Linked DNA regions of Oryctolagus cuniculus. The protein of the gene in region 5 purifies or fractionates together with the protein of the main gene of each other region. This does not show direct contact. Links are inferred from orthologs where the notes say so. Each region holds a gene or a part of one and is shown on either strand. Other genes may lie near its edges.

Region 1 (4,047 bases), on a different chromosome or scaffold from region 5:
AGACCTCTTTCAGCAGGTTCCCACAATGGCAAAGCCTTTTAAATCCCCCACGGCTCTCCTCCAAGCTATTACCTTTCTTTAATGTCTGCACCTCTTAGCTCTGTTGCTAATGTGCTCTCTTAGAAAGACCTCCCGCCGCATCAGTTGCTGCCTGGTGCTGAGCGCTGGTAGAATCCCATGTGTTCATGATGGTCGCCCCCGCCACCCTGGGCTGAGCTCGTGGGCAGCACCCTGACAAACACAGCTTCGTTGCTGCCTCCTCTTACGGGTGCCTGGGAACACACTCTGCTGCACCGTGTTCTGCTGGCGTTGTACTTGCAACCCCAGGAATGCCCGACCTCCTAGGCATGAGTATCACAGAGTATCTCGGCCTCTTTTCAAAAGATTCAACGAAACTTTCCACAGAATGGTCTGGGCTCTTGTATTGAAAGCCAGATCTCAAAGGGGAGATGGGCTGGAATAAAAGCCAACCCCAACCCTTGCCCCCATACAACCTCACCACCAATGTCTGTCTATTAAAAAAGTCCTGCAAGCTCTAATCTATGCCTTCCAAATTGAGGGCCATTTTAATCCCTCTGAAATGATTAACTGCTATTTTGAAAATAATTATAAGAAAGAACTGAAGTTCTGAATGGGCCACACATTTTGGAATCACAGGTTATTAATACACAAATAGATGTGAAAGTACTCTTACACTAAAAGGCATGTTTCTACTTGCAGACACACAGCCATTTATCTTGCAGATCAGCTCATAACCACCCAGGTCTCATTCCTGGCCAGTCTGGACTTGAGAATGCATTGAGATCAGTTGTGAAAATGCAGAAGTGAAGTCAACTTCCTCCTATGTGCAGTGCACTGCTCAGAAAAAGCACAGAGCAATCACCCAAAATGAGATCCCGGACTGAGTCACTTGAGTATTTAAAATGCAAAGAACTGGTAAGAGGGGCTGAGAGTAAGAACTGAGTTAACCTGAAATATCAGCAACTGCAGGCAGGCCCTGGCAGGAAACCGTTCAGCTCACTGTATGCACTGCTTCCAAGGAAAGTAGTTCGTGTTCTTACAAAAAAGAGATGGGAACCACAATCCATTCAATTTAAGCAGTGAGCCAGTACTCAAAAAACAAACAAAAAAAAAAACAAAAAACAAACAAACAAAAAACCTCCCAAGTCACAAGTTCATTATGACCACTTAAATTTCCCTTCCACCAATCCTGTCCCATCTGTGGCTCTCCAAGCATTTACTTTCCTATTACTGGTTCCCAGTTCACCAAAAAGAGTTTGTACTTATTTCCTCAACTGTGCAACCAAGATGTGAAGCCCCATCGTCCCGGATGCGGAAATGAGGCAAAGGGACTGACCACAGGCCACCAAAAATTCGAAGCTAGAATTCAAGTCCTTGGCTCATGTTTTAAAGGTGCTCTGGGGGAGGCGGCTGATCGTCTTCCACTGATTCTGCTCTCTGACAGTGAAGGCTGCCTTGGAAATCAAAGCCCGTCTTTCACAGACAACGGTAAAAAAGAGGTTATCTAAGAACTTCATAGATTCTGGAAGCAGTGAAGTGTGTAACCGGCCAAGGATTGCCACAGAAGAAATCACAGCCCAGGGGTCTTGTATGAGAATTTAAAAGGCCAACAGGCAGATAAAGGCTGCGGGGTGTGCGGGGTGCAGGCTGCAGAGAGAGCCCGACACTCTTGGAAGAGATAAGGAAAGGGTGTGGGTGCAGGACTATTAGCTGTGCTTGAGACATGTGTAACAGAACGGCCCCTGTCGCTCGCAGGAGGGTTCGGGAAGGGAAGCTAGGGAGATGGCTGCAAGGCTGGGTCTGCTTTCCGTCCCCCCTCGGGCTCCCTTTAGGGGTGGGGGCGGGATGGAGAACGCCGGTGGCGATCTAGGCTTGCATCTTCTTCCCTCCTCCAGTCCTGGGAATTCCTGAAAACTCCTTCCAGCCCAGTCGCAAACCGGCTCTCTCCGGGTTCAGAACAATGACGGGGACACGGAGGGCAGTGGGCTCCTCGGGCTCCAGTTCCGGCCCGAGCTGCCCTCACGTCCCACAGGTCCCCTGGCCCTCGGCACGCACACTCCGGTCCACTCGCAGCTTCCGCATCCCTCCTCCGAGCCTCACCCCACGCATCCCTGCCCCTCACCCGCCGCGCCCAATCGCCTCCCACGTCTCTCCGCCGGGGCAGCCCCTACACACTGCCAGGCCTCCCAACTCCCTCCGCCAGGCCCGGGGGGGAAGCTGGACAGCACCGGGGACTAGCGGGGGTCAACTCTGCCTTCCACGCCGCCCCAAACCCCAGCCCCGGGGCGCGCGCTCACCCGGCGGCCGCGTTCTCGAACTTGAGAGCGAGCGTCTCCTCGATGATGCGGTTGTTCACCTCCAGCAGGATCATGGCGGCGGCTGCCCCGGACAGGGGAAGGAGAAACAAGGGCGGGTCAGGGTGGGTAAAGGAGGAAAGGACGCAGGGAGCGGCCCTGTGCCCCCTGAGAAGGGGGGCTGGGTGGGGTAGGTGACGGGAGAAGGGGAGAGGGGAGAGGGGCCGGGGTGGAGAGAAGGGGAGGACGCGCGCCGGCCCGCGCACGCACGGACTGTGGAGACACCCACCCACCCGACAGACCTGGCCCCAGAAGCCTCAACCCGCCTGCCGAGCCGCCGCCGCCACCGCTGCCGCCTCACCGACAAGCCCGGTCCCCGCCCAGCCCCCGGCTCTAGCCGGCCACTTCCGCTCTCACACCCACTTCCGCTCGCCGCCCGGACGCGCGGCCCCGCGGCGCCATTTCCGCTCCGGCTCCCTCGTGCACGCGCACGCAGGCGCGCCCGGGGTGGGGCGAGGCGGTCACACTTGCGCATGCGCAAGGCCTCCTACCGCTTTACTTTCCCACTGAAGCGCCCCACCCCCGCCCCATCAAGTCTCCGCGAGCCACCGAGCGGTCCTTCCCGGAACTTGCCTCCCGCTTGTCCCAGAGTTCCAAATCCACTCTTCCGGTTCTGTCATGTCAGGGGTCCTGCAAGAAGCTCGCTCTTATCTCGCGGCAGGATTCTTTGCTGTCGGCCTGTGCGTCGTGGAGGCTCCTCCTCATTCCAGACGGGTGGCAGTCCGTCGCACCATCGTGCGTTCATTTCCCCAACAGATGGTGGGCTCTTGTCCTGAGCCGCGAATGCGGAAGTGAACACGGTAGACAGGGTCCTGCCCTCGTGGAGCTTATACTGTGGTAAAGGAAACACAATGAACAAATGATCAGTTATGTTGTTTAAAGGCACCGAAGGAAAGGGATGCATAGTCACCTCGGTTAACAGGCAGTTCAGATGGGCCTCCCTGGACCCCTGTGCTGCCTCCATTTCCGTGCCAGGGGCTGCCCCTGGATGCGCAGAACATAATTTTCTCTGCCTCCAACCCTCACCTTTCAGTGCCCCCGCGGGAGACATAGCTCCTACTCATCTGCCTGCGGAATCTGAACTGATCCTTACACCACGTCTGCACCTTCTGCCTGTGTGCCTTGATTTGCATTTGTCCTCCTCCAGAGGAAGTGTAACAAGCTTAGTTGAGTCCCTTCTACATCAATGGTTTTTTTCAGTTATGTGCTGGTGCGGGGTGGGGTGAGTGGGGTGGGGTAGGGACGGGACTGGATCCAAAAAATGAGCAAAGATCCAGCCTTTATCGTCAAGGGGTAGACAGCTTTTAAAAATAGATTTCTTTTTACAGATTTGTTTATTAATTTGAAAGACAGTTTGAGAGAGAGAGATTTTCCATCTGCTTGTTCACTCCCCAAATGGCCACAACAGCGAGGGCTGGGCCAGGCTGAAGCCAGGTGCCAGGAGCTTCATCTGGGTCTCCCACGAGGGTGCAGGGGTCCAAGGACTTGGGCCATCTTCTGCTTTTTCCCCAGGAACATTAGCAGGGAGCTGGATGGACAGCGGAGCAGATGGGACTTGAACCAGTGCCCGTATGGGATACTGGTGTCTCAAACTGTGGCTTTACCCTCTTCTCACTATACCACAATGCTGGTCTCTAAAAATAGATTTTTTTTACGTACAGGCCTTGGATAA
Region 2 (2,927 bases), on a different chromosome or scaffold from region 5:
CACCCTGGGAGGCGGAAGCGATGCTGAACAGTTGTTGAGTCCTGGCCACCCCCGTGGGGGCCTGCATTGAGCTTGGGCCCACGGCAGGACTTGGGAGTGAAGCAGCAAATGGAAGCTCTCATTCAGCTTCTTTCTCCCTCTCAAATAAATACTTAAAGAAAAGAAAACCTGCTGATGCTTCACGCTGCTGCTGCACCCAGCAGAGCCGGAGCTGGGAACCAGGGGTGTTCAGGCCCACCCTCAGCGCAGACCAAGTGTAGTCACAGACTGAAGACCTGACTGATCATCAAATGCCTGGCTCTGCATTCGCTTAAGTGAGCTCCAGAGTGACACCCAGGTCAAAGGAGTGAGGAACAACAGTTACTGAGCAAACCTCTCAGCCGAGGCTCGCAGCGGCCAAGCAGGGACACTCTCGAGCCCGTCCAGAGTTCCTGGAACAGCCAAACTCTCTCGTTCCCATCCCATCCCACCCTACCTTTCAGAGACAAGACACCGCGATGTGTATACTAAGAAGCCAAGAGCTTTATTGATGCAGCAGGCACTTTACAACGAACCCGAGAGCCCACCTTCCCGGGAGGTCAGGGGTCTGTACAAACTCGGGTTTTCCCACAAGCTGTCCCTTTCACCACAGCCCTTGGGTCTGCACCTGCCCAAACCATCCCTCCCCCAGCCTCAGCCAGCAGCACGCACAGCTCCACCTGACCAGTGCTGGCCAGCCTCTCTGTCCGGTCCCAGTGCCCGTTCTGCAGTACTGTGTAGACGAAGGCAAAAGAGACGATCAGGTCCTGCAGAGGATTTGGGAAACAGACGATTTCTCCCTCCACCTTGAAAATAAAATACACTTCAGCGGCCACGAGTCCTGGAAGAGTCGAGTCGGGCGCTCCTAGGAAGGTGGTCCATTGTCAGTCCCTTCTGCACCGGCCTGGGCATCCAAAGTTCTCGAGGTAACAAGTCCTTTGACTTTTAAACAGTCTTTCTTGCTGTAAGAACTCTAATAATGGAGCCTAGTCCTCCTACTGCTAAGGCCTGCGGAGCAGGAAAAGGAAATGTGTCAGGTGAGACCTGGCTGGCCACGACGGGCCCACGCCCCCCAGCCTGACCGCATGTGCCGACCCTCGGAGAAAGGACTCCTGCGACGTGACCACCGCCTCCGGCAGCAGGAGTGGCCCGGGCCCAGGCACCGTGCACGCCCGGCAGAGCCACAGTTCCTCTCTCAGCAAGTCCCTCGCTTCCAGGCTGCCAGCGCTGCCCGAGGCACAGGAACGCACACCGGCCCACTGGAGTGGCCTCCACACCGCGCAGGGGGACTGCTCGCCCCGCCCCCAGCGCCTGACCCCTGTCAAGGGGGCATGCGGGGCAGGGCAGTGGGCACGCAGGCCTGACGGAAGGCACCCAGGTGAAGAGCGGCAGGCGGACGAGGCCATGGTAAATGACTGTCGTGTTTGCTGCCCACTGCACGCTCTGGCCTGCTGAGGCCGGGGCCAGAAGCCCTCCAAGCTGGCGAGGAGGCTCAGCCTTCATCCTAGGACCACCCCACTCACCCAGCAGTTGACTCCACCAATGCAAAGAAAGTACCATGACGCGCCAGCCAGCCAGGAAGCATCCCTGCCACTCCACACCACGCCTGGTCACCTGCACCCATGGCACACAGCAAGGGCCCCCTGTCCTGCCTGGCACAAAGCAGCAGCTATAAAGTGAGTGTACCAGAGACAGCAGAGCCCGACCAGGTGCTTCCCTGGGAGGGGGAGGGGACCAAGGGTCCCAAGTGGAGGCTTGGCCCCGGCTCTCGCAGGGCGCCTGCTGAAGCCCGGGGTGAGGCAGGGGCTGGGCACGGGGCCGGCATGTCCACGTACCTTTTCATGCCACTGAAGCAGCACTGCACTGCTGTTTTCCGTGGGCTTCTCAAACCCTTTATAAATGTACTTCATTAACAAGTCGATGCCGTTTCTGTCCAGAGACTGCACCGCCTGCTCAATTTCGCTGCTTTTGAAGTTAGTGAGCACCTTCAGCACCACGCCCTGGGCTCGCTCCTGCAGAGGAAAGAGCGCGCGTGAGGCCCAGAGCCACAGCCGGGCCCATCCTTGCCCCACTGTAGGCACAAGTGGGAGGAGCTCGCCAGAAGCACTGCCCAGTTTCTAACTCGATCTAGGATCAGACAGCTTTTTAAAAAAAGTGGGCTAAGATTCTCCCACTGGCTCAGAGTACGCAGTACTGCCTGTCGATGACCGAGTAACTGAGTTCCTCCACTTCCCATGGAGGAGGTGCTTTCCTGGGCAGGCGCCAGCAAGGCGCGAGGCCCCACAGGATCGGACGGTGGAGGAGGAGGTGCCCCTTCGAGAACACAGGCTGACTCGCTGCGGCCCCCGTCAAGACCCACGTCCCGGCATCGAGGAGGCCGCAGCCAGCAGTGTAATCTGTCCTCTTTCCAGGCCGTGTGAACAGGACTCTGAGAAGCCGTAAATTCCCTGTGCATTCAGAGCCCACAGAAGCAGAACAGGGCCAAGTCCCCGGAGGGAGGCCCTCGGGAGCTGCACACACTGACGGGGCCCTGCCCCGCCCCTTTACCTTCACAGCCTGGTTCTTGGTGTTGACCGGAGAGTTCCGCAAGGCGGCGTGGAACGCCCGAAGCATGTCCCCTGTGCACCAGCATCCGTTAAGGTCAGCCAGGCCAAGCGTGTCCGCGCGCACCGTGGGCCCAATCCGAACCGCTCCGGGGCGCTTCACGAGGATCCCGAGGCCCAGCTGCTTCACAGCCTGGAGCTGCCTGAGCCCCAGGCAGCGCCTCTCTGCCTCCCCACAAAGCAGCTGCCCCTAAGGGCCAACTGCAGTGAGGTCCCAGGGGCCCCGCCCAGCGCCCCACCTGCCCCCACCGGGCACTCACAGGCCTCTCTCATCTCTCTACAAAGGGAAGCAGGAAGGCACAACCG
Region 3 (3,500 bases), on a different chromosome or scaffold from region 5:
TCTCTCTCACTGTCCGCTCTGCCTGTCAAAAAAAAAAAAAAAAGATACTCATTGAACTCCAGACACGCTCTCAAGATAAAAATCTTGGGCTGACACCAAGGCTCAACAGGCTAATCCTCCGCCTAGCGGCGCCGGCACCCCGGGTTCTAGTCCCGGTTGGGGCATTGGATTCTGTCCCCGTTGCCCCTCTTCCAGGCCAGCTCTCTGCTGTGGCCTGGGAGTGCAGTGGAGGATGGCCCAAGTCCTTGGGCCCTGCACCCCATGGGAGACCAGGAGAAGCACCTGGCTCCTGCCTTCGGATCAGCGCGGTGCGCCGGCCGCAGCGCACTGGCCACAGCAGCCATTGGAGGGTGAACCAATGGCAAAAGGAACACCTTTCTCTCTGTCTCTCTCACTGTCCACTCTACCTGTCAAAAAAATTAAATAAATAAATAAATAAAAGGATAAAAATCTTAAGGGGTCGGCACTGCGGCATAGTGGGTAAAGCCACAGCCTGCAGTGCCAGCATCCCTTAAGAGCACCGGCCCCTGCTCCTGTATGGGAGACCCAGATGAAGTTCCTGCCTCTTGGCTCCTGGCTTTGGCCTGGACCAGCTGGCTGTTGCGGCCATCTGATGAGTAAACCAGCAGGTGGAAGATTCTCTCCTTCTCCCCTACCCCCGTAACTCTTTCAAATAAATCTTTAAATAAAAAAACAACAACAAAAAAAAAACCTGGTGCTGGCGCTGTGGCATAGTGGGTAAAGCTGCCACCTATAGTGCCATATGGACACTGGTCCAAGTCCCGCTGCTTCACTTCCGATCCAGCTCTCTGCTGTGGCCTGGAAAAGCAGTAGAAGATGGCCCAAGTCCCTAGGCCCCTGACCCCACATGGGAAACCCAGAAGAAGCTCCTGGCTTCAGATTGGCCTAGCTCTGGCTGTTGGCAGCCATTTGGGGAGTGAACCTGCAGATAGAAGTCCTCCCCCGCACCCCCCCCCCCCACCTCTCTCTAACTCTGTCTTTCAAATAAAACAAATCTTTTTTTTTTGGACAGAGTGGACAGTGAGAGAGACAGAGAGAAAGATCTTCCTTTTCCATTGGTCACCCTCTAATGGCCACTGCAGCCGGCACACCGCGCTGATCCGAAGCCAGGTGCTTCTCCTGGTCTCCCATGGGGCGCAGGGCCCAAGCACCTGGGCCATCCTCCACTGCACTCCCGGGCCACAGCAGAGAGCTGGCCTGGAAGAGGGGCAACCGGGACAGAATCCGGTGCCCCAACCGGGACTAGAACCCGGTGTGCCAGCGCCGCAGGTGGAGGATTAGCCTATTGAGCCACGGCACTGGCCAAACAAATCTTAAGAAATAAAAATTAACTACATACTTTATTTTCTAGAAATTGTTTTACAGGTTTTATTTTAATAGCTTCATTTAAAAAAATTTTTTTATTTGAAGTGCAGAGAGAGATTTCCCATGTGCTGTGTTTCATCTCCAAATGCCTGCAGCAGCCAGGACTGGGCTAAGCCAAAGCCAGGAGCCTAGAATTCAGTTCTGGTCTCCCTTGAGGGTAGTAGGGACCCAGCCGCTCCCGGGAAAAGGCAGGGAGCAGAATGGAGAGACACAGGCCTTCTGATACAGGATGTGGGCGTCCCAAGCAGTAGCTAACTGCTGTGCCACGTATGTGCTCCCTGCTTTAATTTTATTCACCTATAGAATTGTTGACAGTTGATCCTGGATTTATTTTTTTTATGGTTTTTACAGGCTAAATTACAGTTTGCAGTTGACTGATTTTTTCTTCCCTCCTTCCCCTTGTTATCCTGCTTAGCAAAAGATACGGATATTGTGGATGAAGCCATCTATTACTTCAAGGCCAATGTCTTCTTCAAAAACTATGAAATTAAGGTAAATGACAGAGCTTTTAATATTTCACTTTAATTTTCTGATTAGGGTAATCTCTACACTGCAATGAGTTGCCATGAAGAGAAAATGCGATGTGAAATTGTGATTCTTAAATTCTAGAACACTGTCTGGTATTAGATTCTGTGAAGATACTGGTTTCTTTTTCTTCCTCCAAAGTCTGTACCAGGGTTGACAGACTACAGCCTGAGGACTGAATCTGGCCCATGGCTTCTCGTAAATAAAATGTCATTGGAACACAGCCTGGCCCTCAAAGCCTAACTTGTTTGGTTTCTGGCCCTTTGTAGAGAAAATTTGCCAATTCTGGTGTAAAGACATTTTAGCATTAATTTAGCACCTACTGTGTGCCAGGCCTGGTGGGTAGCATTAGCCCACAAGTGAGAAATCCTCCTGGCTGTGTAATTTTGTTAGTATACGTGTGTGCCCTGAACCTGAGAAGGGGAAGTAGAGACTTGAGCGACCCTGGTCCTGCCCCACTCTCCCCTCTCTCCTCAGTTCCTGTGACGAGGGAAGGAAGGGGAGGGTCACGGACGAGGAGGAGGGAAAATGGAAACCAGGTTTCCTGAGCTCTGCTCTCCAGGTTACCAGGAACGGCGGTGAGATGAACTTCAGCCTCCTCCTTGCCAACTTTGACCTTTTGAAATCAAGCAGGATGTAAAATCTTTATTTATAGATTCCTGATCTATAAATTGTAGTCCAAACATTTTGTGATATTAACAGAGTGTTTTCTTTGTCAAATACATGGCCCACATGCTGTGTTTGTAGTAGGTGTAAATAAATATTATTCTACCACACTTTATTTCCTGGTCTTAAAAACAGGGAAACGTGTAGGTTTCTTTTTGTTTTTTCAGCTATAAATACGAGCAAAATGTGATCTCACGTCTGCCACATTGGATCAACATCCGTTCGTCTTCTCCACTTCTCCTTTTGCTTAGCTCAGGACGCCAGGCTTAGGGAGTTCTTCAAGAACATGTCACACGTGAAGTAATTGCTTCCTCTTTTAGAGTAATGAATGTTTCTGTTCTTGGCAGAGATCCTGAAATGAAAGGGTTTTTAAAAATTGGCCAGCCATATGGTGCACCTCAGGTTATTCAGGCAGCCTTGTTCATTCTCCTTCCTACGCAGGGTGAGGGGCTGTTGGCACAGCTCCCCGGGACCGGGGGTGAAGGGAGCTGAGAACAAGAGCCTCCACAGAGCTCGGGTGGAAGCCCTGGCCCTGCCCGCGTGCACAGAGGGAAGCCTGACTGGGAGAAGGGGCCTCGTGTGCCGCAGCAGTATATGTGTGTGCCCTGAACCTGAGAAGGGGAAGTAGAGTCCAGGCTTTCAGTAGATCATCCGGAGATGAAGATTGATTCCATTTGTTGGACGGAACTGCTAGGTTTTCGTCTGTACTGTTTGCTGAATGTTCTTTTCCTCTCTGTAGAATGAAGCCGACAGGACCCTGATATATATAACTCTCTACATCTCTGAGTGTCTAAAGAAACTCCAAAAGGTAATGGATTAAGCTCGGGAGAGTGCCGACAGTTGTTTATACTCCCAGTCGTTTTTTGTGTGTCGCGACTCCAAGGACAGCTAGGAAATACTCCCTTAGACTTGGACATGATCTG
Region 4 (3,500 bases), on a different chromosome or scaffold from region 5:
GACACGCCCCGGGCACTCAGCCCTCATCATGGCGTCCACCCCTCCGCGTGGACAGACACGCCCCGGGCACTCAGTCCTCATCATGGCGTCCACCCCCCACGTGGACAGATGTGCCCTGGGCACTCAGCCCTCATCATGGCGTCCACCCCCCAACGTGGACAGACGCGCCCTGGGCACTCAGCCCTCATCATGGCGTCCACCCCCCGCGTGGACAGACGCGCCCCGGGCACTCAGCCCTCATGGCACCCACCCCTCCACGTGGACAGACGCGCCCTGGGCACTCAGCCCTCATGGCACCCACCCCTCCACGTGGACAGATGTACCCTGGGCACTCAGCCCTCATCATGGCGTCCACCCCTCCGCGTGGACAGACACGCCCCGGGCACTCAGCCCTCATCATGGCGTCCACCCCTCCGCGTGGACAGACACGCCCCGGGCACTCAGCCCTCATCATGGCGTCCACCCCTCCGCGTGGACAGACACGCCCCGGGCACTCAGCCGTCATCATGGCGTCCACCCCTCCACGTGGACAGACACGCCCCGGGCACTCAGCCCTCATCATGGCGTCCACCCCCCAACGTGGACAGACGCGCCCTGGGCACTCAGCCCTCATCATGGTGTCCACCCCCCGTGGACAGACGCACCCCGGGCACTCAGCCCTCATCATGGCGTCCACCCCCCACGTGGACAGACGCGCCTCGGGCACTCAGCCGTCATCATGGCATCCACCCCCCGCGTGGACAGACGCTTCCTCTGCTGACGCGCCCTGGGCTGTACCCACCACAGTCAGAGGAAACACTTCATGGTTTCTATTGCTTGCTTTCTTTCTTTCACAAAGTTTTAAGATTTCAAACTTCAGGATTATGTTTGCTGGATAAATTTAAGTGTGGAAATCAGACCCCGGTGCTAAGAGAAGGCCAGGCTAGGACGCCTCACTCTCATTCCCACCCTGACGGACGTCACTGGCAGTGCGCAGGTGCACGGCCGAGCACGGGCCTGCGGCGGACGGGCGGGGCTCACCTTCTCGTGCCACTGCAGGAGCACGGCGCTGCTGTTGTCGGAGGGGCTCTCGAAGCCCTTGTAGATGTACTTCATGAGCAGGTCCACGCCGTTCCTGTCCAGGGACTGCACGGCCTTTTCTATGTCGCCGGCCTTGAAGGAGATGAGCACCTTCAGCACGATGCTGCCTGCCCGGTCCTGGGGGAACACACGAGGCAACAGAGTGACTCCTGAGTGTGCGGCTGCACCTGCGCAGGGGGGGCCATGCTGGGGAGGGGAGCCCGGGCGGAGGCCCGCAGGCGGGAACAGGACAGCGCGGTGTCTCAGGAAAGCAGTCAGGCCCAGAGGGGGCGCGTGCTGCCAGTGTGCCCAGGGCCTACGGCAGAACCGCAGCGGGGAGCCAGAGGGGCGCGGAGAGGAGGCTCATGCGACCGGCGCCCCCCCCCCCCCCCCGAGAACGAGGAGGGTCTGAGAGCACCGGCAGGAGCAGGGAGAGCTGGCGGGAGCGAGGGCAGACAGGGTGGACAGGCTGTGTCGCTTAGCACTGCAGGGCCCGAGGGTAGACAGTCCACAGGCAGAGCCCACAGCGATCTGACAATTTATTAAAACATCAACTGCATTTTATCTCAACGAAAACACAACAAGAAAACTGATTTGCAATTCTTCCTTGAATCATCTTTCAGAAATACTTTTTTTTTTTTTTTTGGACAGATACAGACAGTGAGAGAGACAGAGAGAAAGGTCCTCCTTCTGTTGGTTCACCCCCGAAATGGCCGCCACGGCCGGCACGCTGCGCTGATCTGAAGGCAGGAGCCAGGTACTTCTCCTGGTCTCCCATGCGGGTGCATGCCCCAAGCACCTGGGCCATCCTCCACTGCACTCCTGGGCCACAGCCGAGAGCTGGCCTGGAAGAGGGGCAACCAGGACTAGAACTTGGCGCCCATATGGGATGCCGGCACTGTAGGCAGAGGATTAGCCAAGTGAGCCACAGCGCCAACCCCCAGAAATACTTTAAACACTTCCTTATTTTGAAATTTTAAGAGACTGTCTCACGGCCCGTAGCCGCTAGTCACGCGAGGTACAATGGCGTTCATTACACAGCCGTGTTTTCTGGAAAAGCTGCTCCAAAAGCCACCTTCTGCTCTCCTCCACTGTCACACAGGACATCTAAGGTCACCTTCTCCCCTGTCACACACAGCACATCTAAGGTCACCTTCTCCCCTGTCACACACAGGACATCTAAGGTCACCTCCACTGTCACACAGGACATCTAAGGTCACCTCCTCCCCTGTCACACAGGACATCTAAGGTCACCTCCTCCCCTGTCACACACAGCACATCTAAGGTCACCTCCTCCCCTGTCACACACAGCACATCTAAGGTCACCTCCTCCCCTGTCACACACAGGACATCTAAGGTCACCTCCTCCCCTGTCACACACAGCACATCTAAGGTCACCTCCTCCCCTGTCACACACAGCACATCTAAGGTCACCTCCTCCCCTGTCACACACAGCACATCTAAGGTCACCTCCTCCCCTGTCACACACAGCACATCTAAGGTCACCTCCTCCCCTGTCACACACAGCACATCTAAGGTCACCTCCTCCCCTGTCACACACAGCACATCTAAGGTCACCTCCTCCCCTGTCACACACAGCACATCTAAGGTCACCTCCTCCCCTGTCACACAGGACATCTAAGGTCACCTCCTCCCCTGTCACACACAGGACATCTAAGGTCACCTCCTCCCCTGTCACACACAGCACACCTAAGGTCACCTCCTCCCCTGTCACACAGGACATCTAAGGTCACCTCCTACCCTGTCACACACAGGACATCTAAGGTCACCTCCTCCCCTGTCACACACAGGACATCTAAGGTCACCTCCTCCCCTGTCACACACAGGACATCTAAGGTCACCTCCTCCCCTGTCACACACAGCACATCTAAGGTCACCTCCTCCACTGTCACACACAGCACATCTAAGGTCACCTCCTCCCCTGTCACACAGCACATCTAAGGTCACCTCCTCCCCTGTCACACAGGACATCTAAGGTCACCTCCTCCCCTGTCACACACAGCACATCTAAGGTCACCTCCTCCCCTGTCACACACAGGACATCTAAGGTCACCTCCTCCCCTGTCACACACAGCACATCTAAGGTCACCTCCTCCCCTGTCACACACAGCACATCTAAGGTCACCTCCTCCCCTGTCACACACAGCACATCTAAGGTCACCTCCTCCCCTGTCACACACAGCACATCTAAGGTCACCTCCTCCCCTGTCACACACAGCACATCTAAGGTCACCTCCTCCCCTGTCACACACAGCACATCTAAGGTCACCTCCTCCCCTGTCACACACAGCACATCTAAGGTCACCTCCTCCCGTCACACACAGCACACCTAAGGTCACCTCCTCCCCTGTCACACACAGCACACCTAAGGTCACCTCCTCCCCTGTCACACACAGCACATCTAAGGTCACCTCCTCCCC
Region 5 (3,500 bases):
CAAAGCGCCCGTTCTCCGGGGGGCCCCACAGCACCAGTGAACGCTTGCTGACCCAGGAGCCCCGTGACCTCGACTCGCAGGAATCTCAAGCACAAGGCGGCCCTGGGGTGACCCCCAGAAACTGAGGCCCTCGGCAATCTCCAGCCTGTCAAGCCGTGGGGCTCCTGCCACCCATGGGGGAAACCGGGGTTGAGTTCCCGGCTTCCAGCTTTGGCCCCTGACATTCGTGGGCGTTTGGGGAGTAAACCAGTGGATGGGAGTTCTCATCTCTCAAAAAAATAAACTTTAATAAAGTACTCATTTTAGAAAAAAATGAAAAAAGATGTAACCTAGAAATGTACAGAAATCTTCTGGAAGACCACATTTATAATAATATCTTTAAAAAAACAAACATGAAATTAACCAAAAAACTACATTCAATTCAGTTAGGAAGAAGCCATCATCCCTGAAACATGTCTGTGCTGCACCCGGCGGGACTGGCCCTAGACACCCAAGACCCCAGGGAGGGCAGTCACAGGGCGAGAGGCATCCCAACGCCCCCGCCCTGACGCGAGGTGAGCAGACGTGAGCTGCGATGCCCCACGAGGTGCCTACGGCAGAGCGGCTCCCCGTCACCCGTGAGTCATCACACCTCCAGTTCTTCCGGCACACACAAGTGGGGAGCCCCCATGAACAGTCACTGCTGGCTGACCGCACGCGGTAAGAACACACGTCCTGTTTCATCTAAGGCTGGGGTGTGTGTACCTTGCAAGGCTGCCTGGCACACTGCACTGGGGTTCCTATGCCTGTGTCCCGTGTGTACAACCAGACAGAGGCAGCCCCAGCCTGGTGGGCGAGAAATCCCACCCACTGCCTGCACCTCCCAAACAAAAGGCAAATACTCACTGCACGCTTTTTGAGGCATCGGCCACGGATACGGTGCTGTCGTGGCTGACCCAGGCCAGGCGGCTTCCACTGGCAGAGAAGCTGACCCCGTGGACCCAGCCACCAGTGCCACTGCCCCCAAACTCTGACATCAGCTGGCCGAAAGGCATCTTGCTGCCCCAGGGTGTACTGGCTGGCTTTTCATCCACTTCTTTAATGTAGGCAGAAAACACCCTGTGATTCAAAGGGCAAAGAAGGAAGGAAAAAGAAGATGAAGATACATGTATATACAAATAGGCCACTCTAAGTATCTCAGAACCCCAAGGCTGACTCATTAGAACTCTCAGTGCTGGCCGGCGCCGTGGCCGGAACCCTCTGTGACGAAGGTGGGTCCTACAGTCAGGTGTCACCAGGCTTTTTCAAATTCTCTCTCTTTGTTCCGTGAAAGGGAAAGGGACAAAGGAATCTGGCCCTCTGCCCACCAATGCTCTGCTGCTGTGTGCATTTCACCCCCTCTGAACCTGAAAACTTCCCACAAGAACGGGGGTGCCCGCCACCCCAGATGACAAGGACAGTGGGAGCTCTGGGAGACACACAGCATGAGACGGGCCGAGGCTGGCGCGTCAGCTGTCAGTCTAACGCCATGCTGTCACATGCTGCCAGGATCGCATCTGCGTTTCCCATCAGCATCACAACAGCAGCGCTTTTGTCACGAGCGCCGAGAAGGGACCTGTGGTCCTGGGCTCCACGGGCTCCACAGGCCCCACAGGCCCCACAGGCCCCACGGGCTCCACAGGCCCCACAGGCCCCACAGGCCCCACGGGCTCCACAGGCCCCACAGGCCCCACAGGCCCCACGGGCCCCACAGGCCCCACAGGCCCCACAGGCCCCACAGGCCCCACGGGCTCCACAGGCCCCACAGGCCCCACAGGCCCCACAGGCCCCACAGGCCCCACAGGCCCCACGGGCTCCACAGGCCCCACAGGCCCCACAGGACCGTGTCAAAGCAGCTCCATTTGTGGAAATCGATCTCAACAAGACTGCAACCTATTCCCTCACCGGGCGTTTCAGTCGATCCCAAGAATCCACACGGTGGGTTCAGTGCCACCTCCTCCCATTTTCTAAGGGAGTCAGAAGGACTCTGGCAGAGAGATCACCACCAACAAAACCGCAGAATATGAAGTGAACTGTCACCACCATAATCCCACCCCTGGAACCACTCACACGTGGAACTGTTTGAAAACCTGAGAATCCCTGGATACAAGTCACGGCCAGGTTCAGGGTGTGTCCTATCTCCCGCCCACCCTGGAGTCCAGTCCACCTGAGGCATCGTCTCCGTGCTTTTCTTCAGCTAACGGGTGGGCGGAAAGGCCTTCCTGATAAAGCAATTACCCGACAGGACCCTTAAAGCTCTTAGCAAAGTGGCTGCCTCGCCTCCAGCCTCAGGCTAACAACAAACACGTTTCCAGGACAAGGACAGCACAGCACAGGAACCGCTCAGCAGTGCACTGTCTGGCTCTGTTCTGTTCATCTTAGTTTCACTCTGGAATTTGCACTCTGTTGCCTGGAGTATGAAAGGAGAAATAACGCTGTAGAGGAGCCATACAGGAAGAAAAGGGGAGGAAGGGAGACAGAGAGAGACCGACAGAGAGCATGTCTGCACGTCCTATCCCTACACTGGAAACCACGGACATTCTGCCCAGGGAAGCTGTCCCCGCCCCACCTTTGATCTCCCTCCTCCCCCACTTCCACATCCGCTTCCTTCCTCATCAGTGACATCAGTGACGTGCACACTCGCTGCTTTAGTCCCTGTGCACGGCTCCTTTTCTGGACCACGAGCTCCTGTCACGTGGGCCCCTCACGGTGCCCGCTGAAGGAGGAGCAATGTTCAGCAAGTCCATCAGCTTCCCCTCATGCCCACCTGCATTTGAAGTCGCACGATCCTGCTGCCAGCAAAACATTGTTTGGATGCCAGTCCAGGCTGAGGACTGTGGAGCGTATTGGCTTTTTAATGTGTTTGCTTACCCACCTGCAAGAGGAGAAAATCATTATAGCTTATCTACACATCAAGCAACAGTCCCCAAGCAATCTACAGATGTGTATCACGTCTAAATGACGTGGGAAGGTAGGCAGCTGGAGAGAGGAGCTGAGGTTAGCCCCAGCCAACCTGCACAGTGTGTGACAGCTCTGCCGACTTCCGGCAGGACAGCCCGAGTGATGGCCCGAGATGTACCACCCAAGTCCCCTTTCCTTTCCATGCCCCTGAATCTTATCTTCCATGTTCCCAACGCTGCAAATCTAGGACCAGCACCAGCTGGAACGATCCAATATGGCTGCAGGATGCGGTCAAACATCTGTGGACCATTACAATGTCACTATAATCAAATTACTTACCGTGGGGGACACTCCCATTCCCATCACGTACCTCATGCCATGACACTTCCAATATATCCAAAAAAGGGCACAGAAGTGGGCGGCAATCAGGCCCTGCCCCACCCTCCACTCCCTTTGGATGTTCAATTAAGCCCGACCCCAAATACCACCCGTTGTGTGTGCTAGGACAGCTTGAATCTTTTTTTTAAATATGCAATTTTTAAAAAGATTTATTTATGTATTTGAAAGTCAGAGTTACAGAG
Region 6 (4,080 bases), on a different chromosome or scaffold from region 5:
GAAGTGGAGCAGCTGGGACTCGAACGAGTGCCCATATGGGATGCCAGCACGGCAGGCAATGGCTTTACCCACTATACCACAGTGCCGGCCTCCGTATCTTCTTTAACATTTAATTTTAGAAGAATAATTATAACTTCAGATACCTAAATAAAATCAAGGCAACTCTTCATGTCTAGAAGTAGTAAACACACACACACATACAATCTAAGAGGTTTCCAGATGTGTAAATTTTCAGAAACATCACAGCATTCCTGTCATATGGTTCACTTTGTTAAAAAAAAAAAAGTTTATATATTTGAAAGGCAGATAGAGAAAACTTCACTAGTTCACTTCCCAAATGCCCCCAACAGCTGGGTCTCAGCCGGATGGAAGCCAGGAGCTGGGAACCCCTCCAGGTCTCCAACATGGATGGCAGGGACCCAATTACCTGGGTGATCACCTGCTTGCTGCCTCCCAGTTGTGTACCAACAGGAATTGGTATCAGCAGTAGAGCTAGGACTTGAACCAAGGCACTAAGATGTGAGATGCAGGCAACCCAGGCAGTGGCCTGAACAAGGTACCAAATGCACCTCTGACATACTTTATCAAAACTGTTTCTTCTTTGAAATCAATCATATCTATAAAAAAACCTAGACAAAACTTTAATCAGAAGCATAACACCAAACACATCAGTTTTTATTTGGATTAACTATATTTTTTTCATTTGTGCAATAACTCATCTTTTGTGTTAAGGAACAGGATTTTTAAACTATGAACTAGATACAAGACTAACTGACAATATACACAATCAGCTTTTTAATGTGAGCTAAACAAAATAGTAACATAAAAATTAGCTATGGCTAACATTCCCATTCTAACATCAAAAGCTCCCATATTCTATAAATACATAAAGGATTCTTTATCTAGAGCCACTCAGAGGAATCCATATAAATATTATTGGATAGAGTTTCTAAAAGTATTTGACAGTCACAAAACAAAGTATTTTAAATTTAATTTTTAAAGCTTTAAATTTTTAAATTTTCTTAGAACTTGAGACTAAAATGGAAATCAAGCTAATATTTTTCTAAAAGCATCTTTAACTGAGTATTAATTGTAAAAATAACATGTTTATAGTTGACTTCATTTAAATATAGTTTAGCAACATCTGCTTTAAGAAACATTTTCCCAGTAATTCAGAAGGGTTGTGAAGTTTTCCCTGTCTTTCTTAACTCCCTTATTCCTTGTCTCACAGGCACCATTTCTTATGTCTCCCACCAAAACTTCAACACACAGGCAGAAGTTTGTGGACAGGTAAGTATTTTTAATGAAGAACACTCACGTAAGTGGAATCATAAACTTGTCTGTAATTTAACAGTAAGTCTGTCTTTAGATACATCTCCATAGCAGTGCATCTGCCTCCTTTTTTAAAGTGTTTTCTATGGACACGCCATTGTAACATTCTTACTGTAGTACTAAATACTCAGATGAAGCCAGTATAATTACTGCTTGTAAAAAATCTAATAAATTCAGTGCAGGGCAGTGGCAGTTACCTCAATGCATACCAGCTTTTTTTTTTTCCCCCGTTTCCAAAGTATTTTAAAGTTCAAGTAAAATCTATTTTAAGTCATATGTCGCATTTACGCAAGGGAGGAGAGAAAAGTCACAAAATGTTGCAACACAAAAATAGTTTCGGCAATCACCACAGAACTCATAAAAATAAGTAAGCATCTCATTTGCCGACTTTGCTACCCAAAATGCATCTTTTAAACGTTTTTAAAGCAACTTTCAAATGGTTTCTAAATCAGTGCTTTACGTTTTTACGGTATTTGAAAACTACCATCATCTGTATTCTGAACCTAATGGAGGAAAATGGGGGCGGGGACTGAACTTCCCCCAGGTCAATGGGATTAACACTTGGGCTCGCCGGTCCCAGATCCCCCAAAGTCATCCAACAGAACACGCTGGTCTCTGCAGGGCTGCACCTGAGCCAAACTACCAGCATGGAGAACACAGGGCAAACGCTGTGCTGTTGGTCTAGCCGCCTCCTCGCTCCGAGAAGAAAGAGGGATAACACCAAAGCAAACCAACAAACCAAAGCAAATCAACAAAATGCAGCAACACTGAGAAAGGGCCGTAGCCCCCTGAATGACAGCACTTCCCTTTTCTTCAGTGAGCCCACTTCCTGCCTCGCGTTCCGCATCTTCAACTAGACAGGAAGAGGAAGGCCTCTAGGTGTTTCTCCATTCTACACACCCGCGACCCTGGGGCTGCAGCCCCTCTCCCAAAACACGAACCCAGCCTCTAACCCCTTCCGCACTCGAGCCAAATTGCAAACCCCACCCCTCTCTGTGCACGAAGCCGGCCCCCGCGGGCGGCAGGTGGGACCGGCGTCCCGCCCCGGGCTCGCCCACCGCCCAGACCCGCAGGGCTACCGGGAGGGAAGGTTCTGGAGAAACCAGCGCCCCACCCGCTCGCTCCCGACACCCGCACGAGCGGGGAGTGCCGCCCCGTTCCCCTTAGCCGCGAGGGCCCAGAGGTGCCGCGCCGAGGGCCTCGCGACGCCTGAACATCCCCGCCCAGGCCTGTGGCCGCCGCGGCCTCCCGTCCAGGCGCTTACCCCGGTGCCGTTGTCGCACACCACCACCTTCCTGCCCTGACTGTCCATCGTCCGTCCGGAGGAGAGCCGCCGTCGCACAACCTACAGCCGCCGCCGCCCTGCTCTTGCCTCTTCCTCCTCCTTCACTGCCCCTCCTTCGCCCCAACTTTCTTCCCCCAACCGGAAGTCTTCGCCGGTCCCGCCCGTCATTTAGCTGACCGCCTGCGCGGAAGGGGTGGGACGGAACGTAGAAGGCCGCGAATGGCAGCTGTGTGCACCAATCATAAACAGAGAAGCGCCGGGGCCCCGCCCGAGGGCCTGGCTAGGGCTCCGCTGTCACGGATGCGGAGCAGGCAGGTCTTTCTCAAGCTGCGTCTGGTGTTCGGTGTTTCGTGGGGATTTAATGGCGGCGGAAGTCGCGGAAGCTGCGGCTTTCTCCCTAAGGTGTGGCATGGATCAAGGGCGCTGTTTAACGGACTCTGGAGGACGCAGAAAGGTGGAAGACACCGCGTGGAAGACATCTCCACGAGGAGGCCGTGGAGGGTGACGGAGGGGCCATCCGGGGCGGCTGGAAGCAAACCCGGAGGTCCTTGTGAACCCCCTTGAATATGGCTTAATTAGTGCGTCGTTGCCGCTGGACCCATTCAGTGCCCCGAGCTGGGATGGATATACCCACACTTCTTGGAGCTCATGCATTTGCTACCTCCACAGCCTTCCCGAGTCGTCTACAGTCGACTAGGTGCCTGCATTCGCAGCCTTGTCGCCCACCACTTCCTCCTCCAGTAGCCGCAGGTTGCTTCACCCCTCTTCACTACGCGTGCCTGATCGAACCCAGAACCTGGGCTCTGAAATCAGACAACCCCAGTTTCAGATCTGGCCCGACCATTCACGAGTCTTGTTGGACAAAACCTGGTCTGTGCATGGTAGTAATACGTCTGTGGGTTGTTGTGAGGATAGAATTCTGTGCCTAGAGGACACGTTCATTCAGGGGTAGCCATTTATTATTAATCCTGTACTTTTGAACCTGTGGGTCTCCCCACCTATAATGTCCCTACTTTCTCTCTTTTTAACCAGTTGTCAAACTAATACTCATATGCTAAGCTTGTCCCATCTCTGACTCCTTTGCTGGTACCCCAAGATGTTCTTTACCCCTGCCTTTGCTATTGCTTTCCCATGGAGTTGTGAATAACATCATTGTGTTTATTACACACAACAAATATTTATTGAATGAATGACGTTAAAACTCATAGAAAGCATTGCATCATTTTTGAGAGATGAGAACTAAAATTGTGACTTCCACATGTCTACACATCCAACAACTAGAATTGGATCACACGTCTCCCCCCAATTATTTTAGTAATAGTAGTAGCAGCTGCCTATCAGTTTCACCTTGTTCTTTTATTAGACCAGTGGTTTTCAACACTTCTAAAGGCATTGAGTGTTTTGTTCATATTTAATTTTATTTGGAACCCCAACACATAAAATTGATTAAAAATAAATAAGTA

What was found.
Region 1: the proteins of ARPC1A (region 5) and ARPC2 purify together in Homo sapiens (affinity purification with mass spectrometry; 8 studies listed by BioGRID and IntAct, counting the BioPlex papers as one, with this or other methods). This does not show direct contact. The link is inferred for Oryctolagus cuniculus from reciprocal best matches to the Homo sapiens genes ARPC1A and ARPC2.
Region 2: the proteins of ARPC1A (region 5) and ARPC5L fractionate together in Homo sapiens (co-fractionation; 7 studies listed by BioGRID and IntAct, with this or other methods). This does not show direct contact. The link is inferred for Oryctolagus cuniculus from reciprocal best matches to the Homo sapiens genes ARPC1A and ARPC5L.
Region 3: the proteins of ARPC1A (region 5) and ARPC3 purify together in Homo sapiens (affinity purification with mass spectrometry; 8 studies listed by BioGRID and IntAct, counting the BioPlex papers as one, with this or other methods). This does not show direct contact. The link is inferred for Oryctolagus cuniculus from reciprocal best matches to the Homo sapiens genes ARPC1A and ARPC3.
Region 4: the proteins of ARPC1A (region 5) and ARPC5 fractionate together in Homo sapiens (co-fractionation; 8 studies listed by BioGRID and IntAct, counting the BioPlex papers as one, with this or other methods). This does not show direct contact. The link is inferred for Oryctolagus cuniculus from reciprocal best matches to the Homo sapiens genes ARPC1A and ARPC5.
Region 6: the proteins of ARPC1A (region 5) and ACTR2 purify together in Homo sapiens (affinity purification with mass spectrometry; 9 studies listed by BioGRID and IntAct, counting the BioPlex papers as one, with this or other methods). This does not show direct contact. The link is inferred for Oryctolagus cuniculus from reciprocal best matches to the Homo sapiens genes ARPC1A and ACTR2.

Annotation. Positions count from the first base shown.
Region 1 is NC_091434.1:21,132,611-21,136,657, forward strand, and holds the start of ARPC2 (actin-related protein 2/3 complex subunit 2), read right to left. Parts: upstream 2,801-4,047; 5' UTR 2,618-2,800; intron 2,401-2,617; 5' UTR 2,393-2,400; coding exon 2,319-2,392; intron 2,312-2,318; exon of another isoform or gene 970-2,311; intron 856-969; exon of another isoform or gene 73-855; intron 1-72. UniProt on the Homo sapiens protein: Actin-binding component of the Arp2/3 complex, a multiprotein complex that mediates actin polymerization upon stimulation by nucleation-promoting factor (NPF).
Region 2 is NC_091432.1:228,725,046-228,727,972, reverse strand, and holds the end of ARPC5L (actin-related protein 2/3 complex subunit 5-like protein), read right to left. Parts: intron 2,639-2,927; coding exon 2,566-2,638; intron 2,031-2,565; coding exon 1,854-2,030; intron 1,671-1,853; exon of another isoform or gene 1,576-1,670; intron 1,027-1,575; coding exon 964-1,026; 3' UTR 501-963; downstream 1-500. UniProt on the Homo sapiens protein: May function as component of the Arp2/3 complex which is involved in regulation of actin polymerization and together with an activating nucleation-promoting factor (NPF) mediates the formation of branched actin networks.
Region 3 is NC_091452.1:8,108,968-8,112,467, reverse strand, and holds part of ARPC3 (actin-related protein 2/3 complex subunit 3), read left to right. Parts: intron 1-1,801; coding exon 1,802-1,878; intron 1,879-3,316; coding exon 3,317-3,385; intron 3,386-3,500. UniProt on the Homo sapiens protein: Component of the Arp2/3 complex, a multiprotein complex that mediates actin polymerization upon stimulation by nucleation-promoting factor (NPF).
Region 4 is NC_091444.1:1,519,249-1,522,748, forward strand, and holds part of ARPC5 (actin-related protein 2/3 complex subunit 5), read right to left. Parts: intron 1,198-3,500; coding exon 1,021-1,197; intron 1-1,020. UniProt on the Homo sapiens protein: Component of the Arp2/3 complex, a multiprotein complex that mediates actin polymerization upon stimulation by nucleation-promoting factor (NPF).
Region 5 is NC_091450.1:41,594,033-41,597,532, reverse strand, and holds part of ARPC1A (actin-related protein 2/3 complex subunit 1A), read right to left. Parts: intron 2,894-3,500; coding exon 2,786-2,893; intron 1,099-2,785; coding exon 886-1,098; intron 1-885. UniProt on the Homo sapiens protein: Probably functions as a component of the Arp2/3 complex which is involved in regulation of actin polymerization and together with an activating nucleation-promoting factor (NPF) mediates the formation of branched actin networks.
Region 6 is NC_091433.1:137,510,510-137,514,589, forward strand, and holds the start of ACTR2 (actin-related protein 2), read right to left. Parts: upstream 2,801-4,080; 5' UTR 2,645-2,800; coding exon 2,597-2,644; intron 1-2,596. UniProt on the Homo sapiens protein: ATP-binding component of the Arp2/3 complex, a multiprotein complex that mediates actin polymerization upon stimulation by nucleation-promoting factor (NPF).